2 linked regions of the Rattus norvegicus genome follow. The protein of the gene in region 2 purifies or fractionates together with the protein of the main gene of each other region. This does not show direct contact. Links are inferred from orthologs where the notes say so. Each region holds a gene or a part of one and is shown on either strand. Other genes may lie near its edges. The genes, in order: Tdrd3 and Fmr1.

What was found.
Region 1: the proteins of Fmr1 (region 2) and Tdrd3 purify together in Homo sapiens (affinity purification with mass spectrometry; 4 studies listed by BioGRID and IntAct, with this or other methods). This does not show direct contact. The link is inferred for Rattus norvegicus from reciprocal best matches to the Homo sapiens genes FMR1 and TDRD3.

What each region holds. Positions count from the first base shown.
Region 1 is NC_086033.1:69,878,558-69,882,053, reverse strand, and holds part of Tdrd3 (tudor domain-containing protein 3), read right to left. Parts: intron 3,184-3,496; coding exon 3,067-3,183; 3' UTR 3,059-3,066; exon of another isoform or gene 3,058-3,058; intron 1-3,057. UniProt on the Homo sapiens protein: Scaffolding protein that specifically recognizes and binds dimethylarginine-containing proteins. Plays a role in the regulation of translation of target mRNAs by binding Arg/Gly-rich motifs (GAR) in dimethylarginine-containing proteins.
Region 2 is NC_086039.1:152,301,767-152,305,598, forward strand, and holds part of Fmr1 (fragile X messenger ribonucleoprotein 1), read left to right. Parts: intron 1-1,766; coding exon 1,767-1,937; intron 1,938-2,053; coding exon 2,054-2,132; intron 2,133-3,832.

The sequences.
Region 1 (3,496 bases), on a different chromosome or scaffold from region 2:
CAAATTCCATGTAATTTACACTTCAGGAACACAATCCAAATATAAATGAACGGATTTTAAAATTATATTTTTGGAAGTGATAGCAGAAATGCCTAGAGTATTTCTCACCATCCTATATAATTTTTGAGAAAAAAATAGTACTTGACCATACATAACTTTATATTTATATTTATGGAAAGTCATAGAGCTGACTACCAAATATGCTCTTCTTATTGGATATTTAAATTAATAGAAACATAAGGGAAGTGAAAAGGAAAGTTTTCAATTTTGTGACAAGAACAGAAGTTTCTGCACCTCACTTCTGAACATCCCATTAAGACCGTTTGGCAGGAGTATTTCATTACATTACATGGGCTTTGATGATGTATTTCTGAGTTACAATGCCAAGTCTTCCTAGCCAACATTGCATGTCTTGCTCACTTTACTTTTATGTAAACTTTACAGCAAAGTTGTTTTTACAATGATACAGAATACGATTACCAACAATCTAAATTTTCAGTGTCACCTTTCTTCCCTGAAAACAGTCCAAGCCAAGCAAGCATCTGGACCATGAGGAAGACTGACTTATTAATATTACTTCATGGCAGAACACAGAACTCAGGGCCTGCCACATGCTAAGTATGCAAGCTCTACCAGAGCTGTACCCCAGCATCCAAGATGAAAGCTTTAACTTAGGGGGCATGAAAAGTAAGACTATGACACTTAAGTTGATTAGGAAATGTTTGCATTGTATGATTTGATATGGTTAGGCCAAAATTACCCTCAGGGCTATGGTGTATAATGTATTTTTAAGCAGTGTACTTTTTCAAAGAAAAATTTCCATGGAACCTAAACATACAAAATACATGAAAGACACTCCTGGGAGGCTGGGAGGACTTAGCCCTCCCCACTGGGTGCGTGCTAGCTTTCCACTGCTTCCAGCCATCCAACCCTCTCCATCAACCCAAACAGCAGAGCCAGAGAGCTCACATCCCGCTCAGAACCTTTAGTTTCATTAAAAACTGTTTTAAGTGATGTAAAAATCCCCAGAAAGTAGGAAAAAGATCTCTATTTTCATTTACTTTAAAGTGTCATTTAATTGTAAGCACAAGGAACTTATTTTAAGAGTATACACTCAATCTTCTGCAGTGTATAAGCTCCTTAAATCCTTGTATATACTTTGATTCTGCTTTTTAAAAAAGACCATGAGAACTGGTTCCTGTATGCTACAGAAAAATGCCCAGAGTTATGCAGCAGCTCCTCTTTGATCTGCGTCTGGGTCAGAACTGTTTGCTTGATAGCCTTGTTCTGAGCGCAAAGAGGAGGTGGTGATAAAAGGGAAAGAGCTACACTGGCTGGCTCTGAGGGTCAGAAGTCAATTAGCATTAGGCTTTTGCTTAAGGCTGACTGAGATATGAAGTTAAATGTCAGGAAAGTTCTGCGTTTCTATTAGAATACTGTAAATAGTTTCAGACATAAGTAAGTTTTGGGAGCCGAAGGACACATGGCTCAGGAACACTGCATTCATCTGAAGTTCGGGAAATGTGAATAGTTTAAATGTTGGTCACAGTTCAATATGTTTAAAACATTATTTAACTTAGATCAACATTAAATTATTGAGATAATTTCCTTTTCCCCCCTCTTTGATTTTTTTTTCCTTCCACCCATATCACACCTCAATTAACACTCTGACTTCAAGGATTCCATAGCCACTGCTGGCTACTGGTCAGGAGAAAAGAGAACCTGATTAAAAACCTTGGCAGAACTAAGTGTAAAATGAGGAACTGAGGAGTTCCTAGAAATTTCTCATTCTTGCTACTGAAGACAGAAAAATATAGTTAAGTCCAGAATAGTCTATAGGACAATAAATACCTGATAGAAAATTCATTTTCAATTCTCCAAAAGTAGCAGAATGGACTGAAAACAGTAAGAAGACAAGCTGTTTGCCAAATGTGAAAGTATTTTCTTCTAGAAACATATTAGAAAATAAGGTCTTTGTCAAGCATGTGATGTCTGAGACAGTTTCCTAAATCTCCTTCCTGCTCCTTCTCCCTAGTAAAGATAATTTTTAGACAGCTGTTCTTTCTGAAAGAGGTATGAATGCTTCTAGATAAGCAAACAGCCTCCAACTGAGTAAGAGGCATGTTGTCTTTCTGACCTCTTCCTTAAATAAGCTCAACTAGATGAAACCATACAAGAGCACTCAGAAACGAGGCATGCTCTCACATATCTGTGGGTTCTAGTTCTCGATCTTCAGATGTGAGTATTCAATTAGATTAACTGCAAAACCCAGAAAAGAGAGAAGGGATGGGAAGAGCATTAGAGAGAGAGAGAGAGAGAGAGAGAGAGAGAGAGAGAGAGAGAGAGAGAGATTCAGAGAGAGGGAGGGAGTACACAGGGGGAGCTGGAGTCAGGGGTAGATACTGCATTCATTTATGAAATTCTCAAAAAAATATAATAAAACTATGAGAGAGAGAGAGAGAGAGAGAGAGAGAGAGAGAGAGAGAGAGAGAGAACGAACACAAAATACGTACAGTGGTTTGGACCAGAATGTTTGCTCATGTTTGCTTGGTCCACAGTTAGTAGGAACTGTTTGGAAAGGATTAAGAGGCGTGGCCTTGTTGGAATGAGTACAGGTTTGTTGAGGAAGGTGAGTCATATGGGTGGACTTTGAGGTCCATTTTCCATCTCTGACTGTATCTTATGGAGCAGGTGTGAATTGTCAGCTACTGCTCCATCCCCATGACTGCAGGCTGTCATACTCCCTGCCACAATGGTCACAGACTAAAAGCCTCTGAAGCAAGGTCCCACTTAAATGTTTCATTTATGCAATGCCTTGGTCATGGTGTTTCTTTACAACAGAGCAGTAACTAACATAGCAGAAGTGGAGCAATAGATTTCTAGAAGGATTTGTGGGGAAAGGCTAGTGGAAAAGTGGCAAATCACACTGTCACTTGAAAGCTGAATCACAAAATCGGCTTTTTCTATGTGCATTATTATGAAACATCAGTAGCTGAACTTGTATTGAACACAAAGTACATCTTTTTTATATGAAAACTATCTGGCAATGTCGCCTTACCTTTCACATTAGTTCCGAGCTCGAGGAGGCTGGTAAAACTGCTGTGTTGGCCGAGTGGACCTTCGAGGCTGTCCGTCACCCCCTCTCCGGAACTCAATGGTGTGATCATAGGTACCCTCTTCTTCCTATTTGCAAGAATAATGATTTAGTATCTTCAAAGTAGCTCCCACTTTCCTAAGTTAAACATGGTTTATAGTCTTCATGTTAATATACCTTCTGAAGCTGTCAACAGAGAGAGGCAGGGGTAAGGAGTAAAGACAGAGATCTTAAAGGAAACGATTTCCAAATAACAGTACGACTATCACATCAAGTGATGAAACGTAAGGAGCACAGAGAAAGTCAAATATAATTTTCTTGATTATTTCTTCTGAATATATTTCAGGTGTTTATTACAGAAAGGAGTCTTGGTAAGATACCAAAAAGGGTTGTTGAAGAGCC
Region 2 (3,832 bases):
TGTTTAAAAGGGTATAGAACTTCTTCATTCTAATTGGTTGTCACTCTTTAAAACTCCTGTCTTCAGATTCCTGCCAGAGGCTATTTCCCTAACTTACTATTTCGTCTCTTAAGGTGCATTTTATCTACTTTTATTAATTCTCCAATAATTGTCATCACCATGCATTTACTTTCATTGATAACTATCTAGTACTTCCATTCATTACCATAGAAACTAAATAGGTTTTGTTTTAATGTACCAACTCAAGTAGGTTACTGTCAATTTGAAGAGTCCCTCATATTTATTCATTAGGGGAAATCATCAGTTGCTATAGCAAAAGAAAGGGGCAGTTTCAGATTTCTATTTAAGAAAAAAGGTAGTCAAGACTGTGAAAATTGCCACTTTTCAACTTGTTGTGTGATTGATGAACTCTTAACAGAAAAGGAAAATTTTACTTGTATGCCAAATGGCTGTTGAGGTCTGTTTGATTGGTGTTTGTTTGTTTATTTGTTTTTGATCTCATTCTTTCTTGATGTCCCCCATGTTCACACTTTTGTGGTTTAGTGATTTTCTCATAACTTTTAGGCCACAGCAGCCTTCTTAATTTCATTGTGAGTATTATGAACTCATATACCTCTTCTTAAGCATCTAATTCTTCTTGAATATCCTTTGCTATACCTTTGGTTTACATGTATCCATAAATTAGCAATGGGAAGAAGGAAGCAGGGTAATGAATCAAGATCTAAAAATGTGACTTCTTGGAAAATCCTAGAAGATTTTGTGTACTTACTACCATTACCTTTAAAACAATTATTATTCTTTTAAACTTGTTTACATTAGATATATTCATTCATTCAAATTATCTGGTGTGTTGAATAATGATATGTGCATGCCTATTTTCTTCACTACTAATATTAAAGAGGTTCATAAATCCTTATAAAAAATACCCATTTTTCAACATGAGCCACTAATCTGTTTAGTTTTCATTAATGGCATGCTAGAACTAAACATTCAATTTTGATATGCTTCTTAAAGACAGTGATTATCCACATATGTGAGGTATCATTGGAACTTCGTTTTGTCATTGCTGAATATTAAAGAGTTCATCAAGCTTTTATGGATTCAGATCACAAAGTCTTACAGACTCTGAACATATAAGTAATGAAAAATTGCGATTTCGATATTCTGGGATTGTTCTCTTAACTGCTAAACCACAAAGTTTTAGGATTTTTTTTCCTTGTGTTTGGGGAGTACGGGGGTGTTGTCTTAATGCCACATTTCAACAGAAGGATGTTTAGATCCACCATACCTGGTAACATATTATGAAAATGTCACCATTTCTAGAAAAAGTATTTATATATCCATTGTAAGTGCAGTAAATATTTTTTTTATTTAAGATACATTTTTATTTGTTACTTAAATTAAATTGAGTCTGTCAGACCAGGTGAGCTATTTTTAATTGGGAATATTTTGTCTGCTCCTTAATTATTACATTGTGGATATCATTGATTAACAAAGGCAGCCTTGCAAATAGGTTTACAAACATAACCTTGAAAAACTGTCAATAAGCTCTTTTCTGTTAATAACAACAACAATAAAACCTTTTAAATGGCATAGACCTTCAGTAGCCTCAAAAGAACTTATGTATGATTCTAAAATTAGTTTTTCTATTGTAACAATTTATAGGACCCTGATATATAGGGTCAAGATAATTTACATGGCTGGCCTAAATGAAATTGACTTAATAATTGGTAAAACAAGTTAATCACTTGTGCATTTCTCTTCAGAGTTCAAGGCAGCTTGCCTCAAGATTTCATGAACAGTTTATCGTACGAGAAGATCTGATGGGTCTAGCTATTGGTACTCATGGTGCTAATATTCAGCAAGCTAGAAAAGTACCTGGGGTCACTGCTATTGATTTAGATGAGGATACCTGCACATTTCATATTTATGGAGAGGTAAATATTTCACTATAAAATCCAATTGCCGCCCCCTCAGAGAAGCAAATAAACAGTATTTCAAATGCCAATTTTTTTTTGCCTTGATACTACACCCACTCACCCTTCTTTATTAGGATCAAGATGCAGTCAAAAAGGCTAGAAGCTTTCTGGAATTTGCTGAAGATGTCATACAAGTTCCACGAAATTTAGTAGGTAAGTCAAAAATAACTATTGATATATACCACAAAAAATAAAATTCTAGTACACAACTTCTATACTAAATTTCTTTTCATCACTGAAAAGTGTAATCTGATTGAAGCAGTCTTGGAAATGTAGCCTGTTCTTACAGTATATAGAAAATATATACTCCAAGATTATAGTTTTTCAGAAGATATACAAGAAATACTTTGTTAGCTCAGACTTATAAATGTCTGAAAGGATCATTTTTACCTAGCCTCAAACCATACTTTTTTTTTATCATAGCATTGAATGTTTTCCTTATAGTTTGGTGATATTTGATAAAATAATAGCATTTGTGTCAGTTATCTCTGAACTCAAGATCTGGATATGACTTGCTTAGACATAGTATTAACATTCCCAAATTATTCAGTTGTCTTTAGTAGAACAAACTAAAAACAGGCACAGGTGTACTTTTAAAAATATGTTTTGAATTTATAAATGATTTGGGGGTACATTCTTAATTCACTTATAAAAGAATAAAATGAACAAACTTTCTATGTATTTTATGTATATAGCTTAAAACATTCATAGGCTATATTTTGTCAAAATAGAATTGTAATATCTTCCAGCATGTCATTTAAAATTACGAGCCAATAGCCCAGCATTCTGGAAACAGAGGCAGATGCACAAAGATCACAAATTCAAGGATAGCATGGGTTAGGCATAGCAAGATCCTCACTCCAAAATGTGTCCAAGAGTCATGGTATTCTTTTTTTACCATTAATAAGTACAAATGCTAGTGAAACTAATTTACATGTATGCTACAACACAAGAATGTGAATGTAATGTTATCAACACACTACTCATTGTATAGATGGTACATACATAACACAGAATGAACTGACAATTGTGGCAAAAACATGTATGTACGTTAAAATTTATTTTGATGGTACTATAGTAGGTGAAAATGTTTATACATATTTGGTACCATTGTGACTTTGGGTGACTGATTTAGCTCTTGAGAGAAGAATATTTTCCCTTCACTTAATATGTATATCAATGTGGTAATTCATGGTCTAGTTGCTTAATGAGGTGTTGTTATTTGTAGTACTTAGCACAATTCTGGGCACAGAAGGAAACTCCATGTTCTCTTTCATTTATTCATAACTTCTTTATTTTATTACAGCAGACTTAGAGTAAATTGTTCTGTTGGAATTTGGAAGTAACTGCAATATATAAGATTAGATTAAATTACCAAAGAAGAACTTGGATTAAATGTAGAGGGTGTTTAAGGTTACTTTACACCAAAAAAAAAGCCCATTGCAGTCAATCAGTCCAATTGAGTTTTCTTTAGTTTATACTTAGTAAAACAAGAGAACTCTGGCTTGATGAGACATGCTGCAACACTAAGAGTACTGGGCTTGTTCAGAAATCAGTTTTTGTAAGGTTTGTCAGGAAGGAGTTCAGGGTGATATCTTAATCACTGTTACTTGAGTGTTCTCGAGTCTCACCTACTGACTGATCCAAACAGTAATCACAAGCCTTTTTCAGTATGTACACCAGTTTATCTTCCTGAAAAATTTGCTTGTTCTTTCTACACTTTGACAATGACACAAGTACTTAGGGTAGTTAAGATACTATCTTAATAGAAGCATACCAAAATCCTACTTTTCTTTATGCTAATTTACACCTTTATTAAAATCAACTGTCATGAGGATGTATGGATTTTACAG